3 linked regions of the Cricetulus griseus genome follow. The main gene of each other region encodes a partner of the protein of the gene in region 2 in a complex. Links are inferred from orthologs where the notes say so. Each region holds a gene or a part of one and is shown on either strand. Other genes may lie near its edges.

Region 1 (4,181 bases), on a different chromosome or scaffold from region 2:
TAGGATAACATCTTAATATTTAATTTTTAAATTACAATTATTTGCTTATGACTATGTGACATGGCATATGTGTGGAAGTCAGAGGACAATTAACAGAAGTTGTTTGTCATGAGCTCAAACTCAGGGCATCAGGGTTCCGGACAAGTGCTTTTACCTGCTGAGCCATCTCATAGTCCTGAACATCTTGAGCCTGGAGCATGTTTCAGCCCCTAAGGTTAGAGTTAATTGAATAACATTTAAGAGACAGCTACTGTATTTGGGAGCAACAATCTAACTCACATGAAGGAAAAAAAATTGAAGCTTTATCCTAAACAGAAACTTCATACACTGCTCAGCTATAATGAAATCAATCCAGGATTAGACGGCAATGTTAAATCCTATAAGCCCATCAAAATGAAAAGCACATAATACTTATTACATGCTGGAACTACACCAGAAATGATGCTACTGCATTGGGTCACTGCTCGAGGCCTTAAAGAAGAAGACAGAATTTTCAATTAGCTCCAGAGTCCATGCATGGACTATCAGCATCTTCAAATCTCCAGACCAGTTCTACAAGGGAGTCTCAATAGTTCACCAGGCAAACAGAAACCCAAGGCAAGCCCTGTTCAAACAGGGTGGGGGACTTCACTGTCAGAAGACTCCTCTGCATATCCAGAGTCTGGACTTTGCCCCTCCAAAGCCAATGCAAGTATTTACTTCTCTGAGCCTCTTGTTTTCTCCTCTATAAAACAACAAGACCATCAACCTGGAAAATTATTTTGTAAATCAAGCCTTCAGCTTGTGTGTATCACCCTGATACTAAATTGCCAGTTTATAAACTGTTGCAAAGTATCTCTTTCTGAGAATCCCCATTATACTGTGTGAGAGGTATTCAAATTGTAACATTTTTATCAATCTTTTATGTTTAAATACGATGTTTTAATACAGAAAAATGAAAATTTTGGTACCCAGGGCTTCACACATACTAGGGAGAGCTCTACCCACTGTATTGTACTTCCAAACCTGATTATTTTTAAACTGGCATTTTATGTATGCTAAGTGGAGCCTTATGTACCAGGAGAAATTTTAAAACTAGTGAATTTTTTAAAATGTGGACTGCCTATATATTCAGACCTTGCATGGTGGAAATCTTTAAAACTGTCTAAAGGCGACTGCCTTTCAGAACCCAGATACAGACCAGTTGTCTAAACAATAAATGATCCACCACAGACTCCCGGCAAAGTCACAACAGGATGACAGAAGAGCCTTTGGCCTCTCTCAGATTTCCTGGCCACTGTTATTTTAAAACTTGATCACATAAACAGGGGAAAATCCCTTTCAGATAAGCCCCTATGAACTATAATTTACCACCTTTGTTTTTAATACCTGGTGGCAGTTTCCATAAAATATCATAGTCGTTCTCTCTTCTTGCTCATGTGTCTAGATAATAGAGCATATGTATATTCTATACTACATTTAATCACAATAATCTTTTCTTAATGGTAGTATTAGGTCCCTGTCATTTACAAGTAACTTTTGAAAGTAGATACATAACTAGAAAAGAGAAGGAAAAAAAATAAGTAACAGATCACACACACAAAATAAAAACACTATGGGCAGATGAGCATCAGCCTAAAAAGACTTGTTTACCACTGTGCATGTTTACTCCTGCACAATGGAAAACCCCAAAAATGACATTTAAAAGTCAATGAGCTATTCTGAAGAGCTGCATTGTTTCTGACTCTTCCTTTGGTCCCCTTGTAACATTTTGGCTATTTCTAAAATTAATGCTAGAGGGCACTAAGGTAACTTTTTTCACTAAACATTTCCCAGTTGGAAAACCACAAGCCAAGATATCTTGAAGTTGAGTTAATTTGTACAGAAATGCTGCTGTTCGGCGGCCAACCTTTGTACCATGACCACCATCGAGACTCACATTTTATGGTGTGCAGATAGTTGCAGCTGAGCCCCAGGAGCTGTTAAAAGTCTCAAGTCGACTATATTCGAACTTCCTACAACTGTACCAGGATAGCAAACGAAACTTTTATTCAGCACATATGAGATCGCCCCAACAATGCTCCACATTAGGATTTAAACAGCCCTGCCCTACATACTTCTCGCCAGATAAAATGTAACTCTGTGTAAATATTCCAGACATAGATAACCTAAGAATGACCTTATTAAATCATTTCCTATTTAGAGATACAACCCAGAGCCAGCGTGTTTAAATTAGTTTAAGGAGTTTTGGAATTAACTAAGTTAGTTTTTTAAAAAAAATTTTCATCAACATATCCGTAAAATTCACACTCAAGATACGAGACCACTCAGGAACTAAAACTCCAGCTCCGTAGAATGCCACCATGGTCTTCGACACGGCTAAATTATTAATGGCATCATTTGATCTTTACTTCTGACAACAGACTAGTCTGTGTAGAATTTTCAGTGTGCTTCCAAAAGGAGAAAATAAAACCATCTCGCAAAGTCAGGAGAGACTCCCGGGACCGGGGACGCAGCAGCGTCAGATGACAGGCACCCCGCCGGCCCGGGCAAGGGAAGCCAGAGCTCCGGTCTGAGCCCGGCCGGGAGCAGAGGCCAAGGCGACAAGGACAGGCGGGCGTGCAGGCGCCCACACTCACCCGGGGAGGCAGGTGCGCGAGGACCACGGAGAGGCTGCGGGGCTGCGGGCGCGAAGGGAGAGCGCGACGCCGCGGCGGAGAGCGAGCACCGGAGACGACGACCGCCGGGATTCGCTTCCTGCTAGGACAGATCCCGGATCGGTCTCCGCCCGCTGGCCGGAGCCCTGCTGAGTGCCCAGCCTGCAGCGTACGTCACTGCTACGGAGCGCCCAAGGGGGCGGGAGGCGGGGCGGAGGCGGGACTTAGTGGGAGAGGGGCGGGGCGGCTGGAGAAAGGGCGGGTCTTCATGCGCAAGAGGCGGGGGCAGCCTAAGGGGCGGGGCCTCAAGACTCGAGGGCTGAGAGGGGAGGAGTCCAAGGGAGGAGGAGGGGGCGGACCGGCAAGGCGCGGGGTCTTAGGAGTGAAGGAACCGAGGGGCGAAGCCTGAAGACGTGTGGTGGGGGGTACGTGGGCGCGACTGCTAAGAGCGGGGTCCCTGGACGCCCTGGCGGGCGGACTGGGAGGGGAGGCCTGGCAGAGCCAGTGCTGAGTGGGGCGTGGCCTCAGGACTCCCGAATGCGGAGCTGGAAAAGGGCGGGGCTTAATGACTTGCAGCCTGGGAAGGGCGGGGCTTCATGGCTGGGAAGCAGCCCAGAACCGAGACACTGGGTGCATCCCTGCTAGGAGCATGCTACAGGTGGCCACACTAAGTTCCCTTCGTCCCAGTCGTGGTTGTTTCCAGTCCCGCAGCGCAGGTCCTGTGGATCTGCACCGCAGAGTCAGCTGGAGGAAATTTGAGTCAGTGGGGACAGGCGTTTTGCAGAGGGACTCACATGCGGTCTCTAGGTGGCAACCAGGCCTGTGCTCCCCACGCAGCTCTTCACCTGCCTGCGTCAACTTCCTGTTCGGCCTTTGGAGGATTGGACCGCGGAAGGAAGTTTTCCCTGCCGTGGCTGGCCTCCCACGATGTCATATTGACTTCTTAGAGCCCCTGTACTCCTACCCCGCCCCTTTTGTTGTTTATTCGGACTCTTGAGAATCTCAGTGGATAACCAGGCTGCCTGGGAACTTGCCATGTAGCCTGGGCTAGCCTCGAAATAATGATAATCCTTTGTGGGCTGGTTTTATAGGATTAAATAAACTTACCCGCTTTATCTTTCTAATTGTTTAATTTTACTTTCTTTATAAGGTCATATGAGTCATCTTTTTTAGATTAAAAACTACATTCCCATGCAAATTTGAAACATCGCCTTTATAAGGAAAAGAAGCTACTAAGAAAACAAAATAAGGAGCTGGCAAGATGTTTCAGCCAGTAAGGATACTTGCAGTAAGGACACGTGCAGCCCAGCCTGAAGCCCAGCTTTCGATCCCCAGAACCCACACGGTTGAACTTACTACTCAAATTGTCCTCTGAACACAGGGGCTCTAAACACTTGGACACTGTCTGGACAATTCTTAGAGAAGACAAGTTTCACGTGTTCAAACTGGGCCTCATACTTGTGATTCCAGATACTCAGGAGGATGCAAGTTCAATCCACACCATCACAAAAATGGTGGGGGAGGGTCAGACACGCAGAGAGGATA
Region 2 (3,509 bases):
CCAGGCATGGGTGCCCCCACTCACCCAGTTCTGTGTCTCTGATCCCCATGTAGCTTTCTAGCAAGTCATCCACCTTCTCAATGGCCTTTTCCTCAAAGGCCGATGGCTGTGGAGGAGGGACAAGACAGCACAGTAGTGTCAACAGAACTGCTGTTATACACAGTGAATGCCTTCAGTGCTGGGGACAGCTCCAGGGCCTCACACATGCCAGGCAACAGCTCCACCAATGAGCTGCACCCCCAGCTATTGTTTCTTTCTTTTTTTTAAGATTTTGTTTGTTTATTATGTATACAGTGTTCTCCCTACATATATGCTTGCAGGCCAGAAGAGGGCAGCAGACCTCATTACAGATGGTTGTGAGCCACCATGTGGTTGCTGGGAATTGAACTCAGGACCTCTGGAAGAACAGCTAGTGCTCTTAACCACTGAGCCATCTCTTCAGCACCCCAGCTATTTTTTTTTTTTTAACATTTATTTGCTTATGTGTAGGAGTGTTTTGCCTGCATGTATGTATGTGTACTATGTGTGAGCCTGTGAAGGTCAGAAGAGGACACTGGATGCCCTGGAGCTGGAGTTAATGTGTTAGCCACCCAATATGGGTGCTAGGAACTGAACCTGGGTCATCTGCAAGAGCACCAAGTGCTCTAAACTGCTAAGCCATCTTTCCAGCCCCAATATTCAGATATTATTATTCTAATTTTGAGATACATTCTAAGTTGCCCAAGCTAGCTTTGAACACTAAACCCTCCTACCTCAGCTTCCCAGGTATCTAGGATTACAAGTGCATGCCCACACTGGGCTGGCTTTCATGCATTTTCTTTTTGGTGCCAAGCTCTTGTGGTTTGAGTTATTCTTGAATGTGAAATCCTCCTGCCTGAGATTACATGCCTGGCTGTGGTTTCTGTCTGTATCAAGGTCCCCTCTGACAAGAAGTTACTAGGACTCCTACTTTACAGGTAGGAAAACCAAGTCTCACTTGCCCAAGGAAGGTCCCAAAGCTGGGAGGAGGTAGATTTAAGCAGAGGTGTCCAGAGTCCCTCAGGTAATGAGAATGCCGTCACTGGCCCAAGGTGGCTCACTCACCAGATCCTCCACTGTGGCAGGGCCCCGGGATCGGAGCCTGAGGGTCCCTCGGCCAGTGCCCAGTTGTGGGCCCGAGCCAGGGTGGCCACCCGCTGAACGCTGGCTGATCATATCTATGGGAATTTCAGCATACAGTCAGTATAGCACTCAGGCAGCTAGGCCACCTCTCACCATCTCCAAGTTCTGCAGGCTCCTTGGGATAGGGGCTGGATTCCAGGAGGACAGGACTTTGCAGGAATGGAGAGGGGCAGGGCGGGGTGGGGGGTGGGGGAGTTAGACATAAAAGAAGCTAGAGAACACAATTGAGGGACACTTCTACTACTTCTACTAAAAGGGGTGAGAGCTGGGGGTCGAAAATGAGTCCTTGGACACTTTCCCATGACCATGGGTGGGCATAACTGCTGGATCTCAGATCAGTCCTACCTACCCATACCAGGGGTGCCTCAGGCCCATTCCTGAGAGTTAGTGAAGCCAGGTAGAAAAGGGGGCAGGGCCCGGGAGTTATACAGGTCAGCCAAGCCTTACTTCTCCAGGCTGAGGGGGCTGGCCAGGGTTGGGGGCACTTGGCTGAGCTAATGGCTTCTGGAAGTTGGGTGTGGGGGATACTTCCTTCAGGCTGGGCTACCAGCCAGCACCCAGGGTGCTAGGGTGGGGCCGGCTTCACTTTGGTTGCAGACTTGGGTGCCACCTGCTGGTGGTTCCCAGAACCGCAGACCATATTTTTCAAGGATTCAAGGTCATCCTAGTGGGTGGTCCAAAGATTGCTCACCAAAGGCTTTCCGAGGCTCTGTGAGTTTGAGGGTGAAGGTACGGCCTCGGGGCAGCTCCTTGAGGAGCCTGGCAACTTCGTAGTGCCGACAGCCCAGCAGGCTCTGCCCGTTGATGGCTTCAATCATGTCACCCACGCTGATGAGCTGGATGTGATCAATCACACTGCCATCCTTGATGCGCTGTGGAGGGGCAGGCATCAGCCCTGGGAGCTCTACTCTAGGTCACTTTCAGACCCTGACCACTGACCAAGGGTGTGCCACCCACCCGGGCACCTTAATGAACGCATAGCCGGCTCCGTTGTCAGTGATGGTTAGTCCCAGTGCCTCCTCAGACTTGAATACTTCCACCTCTTTGCGCTGCCCCTTGACATGAGCAAAGATGAAGTCCTCCAGCCCGATCTGGCCACCCAGGAGCTTGTCCATATCCACTTTATGGGTGTTGAGGGTGCAGAACATCACCTGCAGAGGTGGGCAAGATGCTTGTGCCCTCCTCCCTGGGTCACCTTTCCTAACACTTGGGAGAGGAGGGGACTTCAGAAAAGATACCTATCCCAGGGATTGGTGGCACCCAGAGCCAGGGCAAGATCCACTAGTACATCAAATGCTATGAGTAGGATTTCTGTTCTGGTAAGAACTCATTGCTAGCTTGATTTACAGTGAACACTCAAATGCTGGAGTGAATAAAGGAGTCTAGATTCCTACCCACCCTTCCCACCAATCTCCACTTGATGCTCAGCCCCACTGTTTCCCTCCCTGTGGCTTCTCTGCTTCCACCTTGGGGTCATGCCTCTAGTGCACCATGGGGAAACAATAGCTGCTCCTGACCTCCAGTTCCCACAGTGCTCTGGGGCATAGGTGTCCTAAAGCCTCATAGAAACCCAGCTACAATCTACCAGGCCATAGGCTACTCCAGACCTGATGGGATAACCAGCACTCACAGCCCCACAACCTACTAGGTTACGAGCCTCTCAAGGTCTGATGGGAAAGCCATCCCCATATACCTACTGGGGTAAAAGTCTCTCAAGGCCCGACAGGAACTCAGTATCCTGCTGCAGCCATACCTCCTAGATTCAGGGGTTGCTGGCCAGTGGGTGCACAAGCACCTGAGCCCCAGCTCACAAGAATGCATGCCTAGGCTTATGGCTTGCTCTCAGGAGACCCTGGCCCCACTGGTACCTCAGCAGCTGGCAGTTGGAAGGCCTCAGCGATCTTGCCATACAGCTCCTTGACATTGGTGAAGCCCTCGATGCGGCCTGTGGGGCTACCGTGGGCCAGCTGGGTGTGGAATACGAGGCGAGGCCGGAGGGCAGCGGGAGGTGGGGGCAAGCCCATCTGGGATTCCCCTGCTCCGCTTCCACCCAGGGGCCCAGGCTCCCCCACTCCCAGGCCACTGCGGCCTGGCTCCGCCTCTTCATTTTCCACCAGAGGTGGTGCCTTTTTCCGCCGCCCCAGTCCCAGTGGCATGAGCAGCCAGAAATGGGACTCGGCCAGGAGACCTGCAGAAAAGGAATTGGGTTTCAAGCTCTGAGTAAGCCTTGGGTGCCCATCACCAACCAACACCATCCTCATACCCAGGGGCCTGGTGCAAGCTGGGGCAGTGCTCCACCACTGACCCTCATCCCAGTCCTGATGACAGGACACCTCCAGATACTGCCA
Region 3 (4,258 bases), on a different chromosome or scaffold from region 2:
TTCATCAGCTAGGGGCCCACAGAGGGCTGCCTTCCCTGCCCACAGAGCTTCCCCTTCCTTCTCTCCCAGCCTCCAGATCCAGCCAGGCACAGCCATGCAAGCCATTCTGTAGGGAATGGTGGCTGCCCTCACCCCAGCACTGCACAGGGGGCCTGACCCTGCCTGGTGGCAGGGCTGTAAGCTTCAGACAGTCCATTTGCCTCTCACCCTCTATGACCTTTCTGTGAGGGGTGAACCAGCAGGGTGGTAGGCGGCTGTGCGAGTCTTTGCCAAGAGAAGGAATCTAGGCACGCCCATGACAGAGTCTTGCAACTACTTGGGACCACAGAGAAAGGGACAAGACAGGGGGCCTCAGCAAGCACAGAAGGCTCCACTTAGCGCTTTGCAAAGTCAATGTCATTTGGGGGTGGAAAATGAGGACCCACAAGCCTACCTTCTGAAGCCAATAAAAAGAGGGTTCTGCTGTGAAATCCTTGAAGGGGACTGGCTGCACCCAAGGCCAGCCCACATGGTGACCCCTAACCTGCCCTCTTGCCGCCCCCAGGCCCTACCTCATCCTCAGCCCTGTAGTTCTCTGTTCCAGCCAAGATCCCCTGCCAAAGTCTTCTTTCCATCTCGGTGGCCCCATCTGTCCGGCTGGGCTGTGTCTGTTAGGCAGCAAAGCCCCAGCACCATGGACACAGGCTGGGGAGGTGGGGGCAGACAGCTTGAGTTCAAGTCCCACCTCTGCTAGTTCTCAGCTGTGTGACCTGAGTGTCCCTTCAAACTCTTATACCTGCTTTCTTCGTCTGTATGTACAATGGAATTAAGAACAGACATTCGTTGAAGACAGGACACTCGACACACTAAGTTAAAAGCTCACAACTCTGGTGGTCACTCCAGGTCCGCCATGCCACCTAATAGGTGCTCAGCTGCTCTTTCCTGAGTGAGTGAAAGTTGGCCTTGAGCACACACCTGTTTGCAACCCAGGTGACCTCTCCAGGGAAGCAATCACTTCCCAAATTCCAGGGTCTCCTGACACAATTTCCTACTGGGAGTCAATATCCCTGCATGTCTACACTCTTGGGGCCTCCAGTGGGTGCCTTGTCACACACATACTTAGCCCTTCTGCCCCACCCTCCCCTTATCCTCAGGGCTCTGCTGCCACACCTACTCACACACCTGCCAGGGTGCAGTGGCATGTCCTAAGGGCACCCACAGTCTCCCTAAACACACTCTTACTGTCACTGCCTCTCTCAGCTCAGCATTGCACCTGTGGCCCCCACCTGCCGATCTGAGCTATAGGTGCTCTGTCTGCCTTCTGGGAACACCTGGGTACCTTGACAACACAGACCCTCCTCCCCTTAAGTGTGCACACCCTGTGACCGAGCACATACTCCGGGGCCAGCACCCCTGCCAGCAACCAATCCTCCGGGACATCTACATCCCTGCATGCACAACAGATCCCCAAACAGGCTCCCCAGACCCGGGCGTACCTGTATGTTACGTCTGTTCTCACAGGACGGCCCGGTGCCCTGCACAACACTGTCCAGTACGGCCACCACGTCGGGTGCCGGCTCCACGAAGCAGGCGGTGCGCGCCGCGCGGATGGCTGTCTGCACGTCGGCGAAGCGGAAGACGCAGAGTGCGGCCGGGGCGTTGCGGGCACCTGGGGCGCCCTGGGGCCGCTCGAAGACGGCGAAGAGCAGGTCGCGCGCGGGGAAGACAGACACGAGGCGGCTGTAGAGGTCGCCGCGGCCCGCGCTGCCCGCACACTGCAAGCCCAGCTGGATGTAGGACTCCGTAAGCTTCTTGGCGTCGCCGCCCGCGCCGCGGGGCAGGCAGATGCGCGCCAGCAGGCTGCGCGCCTGGCTGTCCTTGTCGCCCGCACGCGCCTCGCTGTTGAGCGCCAGGTACGCGTAGGGCTGCGCGCGGCGCGGAGGCGCCGCCGGGTGCAAGAAGGCGCTCACGAAGCCCAGCTTGTACTGTTCCTTGGCGCCCTGCTTGATCTTCAGGATGTTGTCGTCGGACGGGTTGAGGTCGAAGGTGAAGAGCTTGGCCAAGTTTCCACGAGCGTCCAGGGAGCGGATGGCGATCTCGGGCGTGTTCTCGAAGCGGTGGTCTTCCAGGCTACGGTTGCGCGGGAAGAAGACGCTGCCGTAGCCGGTGTACGTGGCGCCTACAAGCAGACGGCTGCCCCCCGTGCCCGCGGCCGGCGGCAGCACCAGCCCCACGGTGGATGCATTGGGGTGGTTGGCGGCCACGTTGAGCATACTGGGGAACACGGCGACCGGCTCGGCGGGCGGCGCGGCAGGCGGGAAGCGCACAGCCAGGGCCGAGATGTTGCCCCGGCGCCGCAGCTGGCACAGACCCTGGTAGATGGAGCCGCACGCGACCACCAGACCCTGGCCCGGGTCCAGCTGCAGGATTTTGTTGTAGTTGTCGGTGAGACGCCGCGGGTGCTCGCATGAGGCCTGCGGGAGCTGCGGGGCGTGACACAGCGGGCTGTCCGGCACGGGGCCCACGGTCGCCTCTGCCTCCAAGCTCAGGTTGGCGCTCGACAGCTGGTACAGGCGGTTCACCGCCGCCAGGTACACGGTGCCCGCCGCGCCGTCCAGGGCGAAGTTGTTGGTGGGCGTGGGCGAAGGGAAGCGGCGCTGGATCTCCAGGGCGCCGGCCCGCGCCGCTCCGAGCAGCAGCAGCAGAGGCAGCGGCGGCAGACCCGGGCCCCGCGAGTGCGAGCGCGGAGGCAAGGGGACGGCCGCAGCGGCCCGGGCGCTAGGGGGTGCGCCGCCCGCGGCGCGACGAGCCATCCAGGCGAGCGCGGGCGCGCGGCGCGGCGAGTGCATGGGGCGCGGCGCGGCCGGGAGCCGGGAGCTCGGAGGCGGCGAGAGGCGGGGGGCGGGCCCGGGCCGCGAGGCGCTTCCTGCCCGCGCCTGCCGCCCCCGGCCCCGGCGCCCCGGCCCGACTCTGGCGCGCCGCACGGCCCGGGGGCGGCTCCGCCGAGACCACGCCCCCAGCCCAGTTCCCCGCCCCAGCCGCTTGGCCCACACCCTTTCGCCCCGGGCCACGCCCCTGGGCCCCGCCCCATCCCCGGCTCACGGTCTGGGGTCGCCGCAGACCGCCGGCCGAAGCTCTCTCCCAGCGGTCGCAAGTTGCCTGCCTCTTTCCTGGTTCCTGGCCACCTGGAAGGTCTTGCTCACATTTGTTTGTTATCTTTCCTGTCTTTCTCCTCTTCCTGGTCCTTTCTCCTTCTGTTTCTGATCGCCGGTTTGTCTTCCACCGCCGCGCGGAGTTTCGCTCTTTCAGTCTCTCCGACTCCCCTACTTCGCTCCTGTCAACTCCGCCCCGTGCCTCTCCCGCGTCACTCCCTCTCCCTCAACTGCGTTTTTTTCTGTTCCCGCAGCTCTCCCTCCCCACTGTCTTCCTTCCCTTGTCCCCTGAAGCCCTCCATTTCTCCTCCACCGCCTGCTGCTTCTGGTTACAGCCCCTCCTCACATGCTGCTCCCCAAGCCTCACTCTAAAAGCCAGCCGGACTAAGGGACATCAAGCCCCGAGACCCCATGATCTGTCCCCCCAAACTGTCCCGTAAAGGGACTTCGCAAGCAGCAGGCTCTGCAGAACAAGCTTGGCAATGAATCCACAGCAAAAGTAGAAAATACATCAAGAGGAAGTATGTCCCTCTTACTATACCATGGGGCAGGCTGGGCTGAGCACGACATCACACCACAGGGCATTGGTCTCTGTGTGGAGCCAGACCCTGTGGACCCCCAGGCCCCTGCCCTTAGTCCAGGGTTCTGAGAAGACCATAAGTCGTCCCACATATGACCTGGCACTGGGCACCGGTCTCCTTTGACCCACAAAGGAATAGGTAGTCCCTGGGATAGACGCAGGTAGTGGTATCCTAATCCAGCCCCATGTGATGCCCTCCACAGCATGGTGATGCCCACATAGGACCATGCCAAGTGCCAACCTCCTCAGAAATACTCAACCCATTTTACATACATGGAAACTGAGGCCCCAGAAGTGAAGCCCAAGATCCACAGCTAAGGGGGAAGTTGGGGCACAGTTCCATTGTTTGAAGGCACAGTCCTTCAGCTACAGGTTCTCAGTCAGGATCTCCTATCAGCTTGCAGCTGTCACTTAAGGCTGATGGCCCTTACGCAGAGGGTGACCTCTCCTGCCTTGCTCCCACTTGATAGGAAGGAAGGGTGGGGAGGGGGTTTCCCTGTGCCTGAGGGGTCAGCAGAACAGGCCCAGCTTACAGCTACCCCCACTT

What was found. Proteins that work in one complex are often made in the same cells at the same time.
Region 1: the proteins of Gipc1 (region 2) and Myo6 are in contact, whole or in part, in a crystal structure (PDB 5V6E), measured with the Mus musculus proteins. The link is inferred for Cricetulus griseus from reciprocal best matches to the Homo sapiens genes GIPC1 and MYO6. Residues at the interface, in NP_061241.1 of Mus musculus: Glu273, Ser274, Tyr275, Met276, Gly277, Ile278, Arg279, Asp280, Glu282, Leu283, Thr286, Asp310, Phe311, Ala312, Pro314, Glu316; in NP_001034635.2 of Mus musculus: Ser1055, Lys1056, Trp1057, Lys1058, Tyr1059, Ala1060, Arg1084, Arg1085, Leu1086, Val1088, Tyr1089, Trp1092, Lys1093, Asn1096.
Region 3: the proteins of Gipc1 (region 2) and Plxnd1 are in contact, whole or in part, in a crystal structure (PDB 5V6T), measured with the Mus musculus proteins. The link is inferred for Cricetulus griseus from reciprocal best matches to the Homo sapiens genes GIPC1 and PLXND1. Residues at the interface, in NP_061241.1 of Mus musculus: His61, Glu141, Ala142, Leu143, Gly144, Leu145, Thr146, Ile147, Thr148, Asp149, Asn150, Gly151, Phe156, Lys158, Arg159, Arg190, His191, Tyr192, Glu193, Ala195, Arg196, Leu198, Lys199; in NP_080652.2 of Mus musculus: Glu1400, Met1889, Glu1893, Arg1899, Gln1902, Gln1904, His1905, Glu1908, Ile1918, Tyr1919, Cys1921, Tyr1922, Ser1923, Glu1924, Ala1925.

What each region holds. Positions count from the first base shown.
Region 1 is NC_048597.1:191,082,403-191,086,583, reverse strand, and holds the start of Myo6 (unconventional myosin-VI), read right to left. Parts: upstream 2,808-4,181; 5' UTR 2,619-2,807; intron 1-2,618. UniProt on the Homo sapiens protein: Myosins are actin-based motor molecules with ATPase activity. Unconventional myosins serve in intracellular movements. Myosin 6 is a reverse-direction motor protein that moves towards the minus-end of actin filaments.
Region 2 is NC_048596.1:160,754,346-160,757,854, forward strand, and holds part of Gipc1 (PDZ domain-containing protein GIPC1), read right to left. Parts: intron 3,350-3,509; 5' UTR 3,318-3,349; coding exon 3,030-3,317; intron 2,313-3,029; coding exon 2,127-2,312; intron 2,034-2,126; coding exon 1,853-2,033; intron 1,197-1,852; coding exon 1,084-1,196; intron 107-1,083; coding exon 25-106; intron 1-24. UniProt on the Homo sapiens protein: May be involved in G protein-linked signaling.
Region 3 is NC_048601.1:28,869,831-28,874,088, reverse strand, and holds the start of Plxnd1 (plexin-D1), read right to left. Parts: upstream 2,808-4,258; 5' UTR 2,793-2,807; coding exon 1,476-2,792; intron 1-1,475. UniProt on the Homo sapiens protein: Cell surface receptor for SEMA4A and for class 3 semaphorins, such as SEMA3A, SEMA3C and SEMA3E. Plays an important role in cell-cell signaling, and in regulating the migration of a wide spectrum of cell types.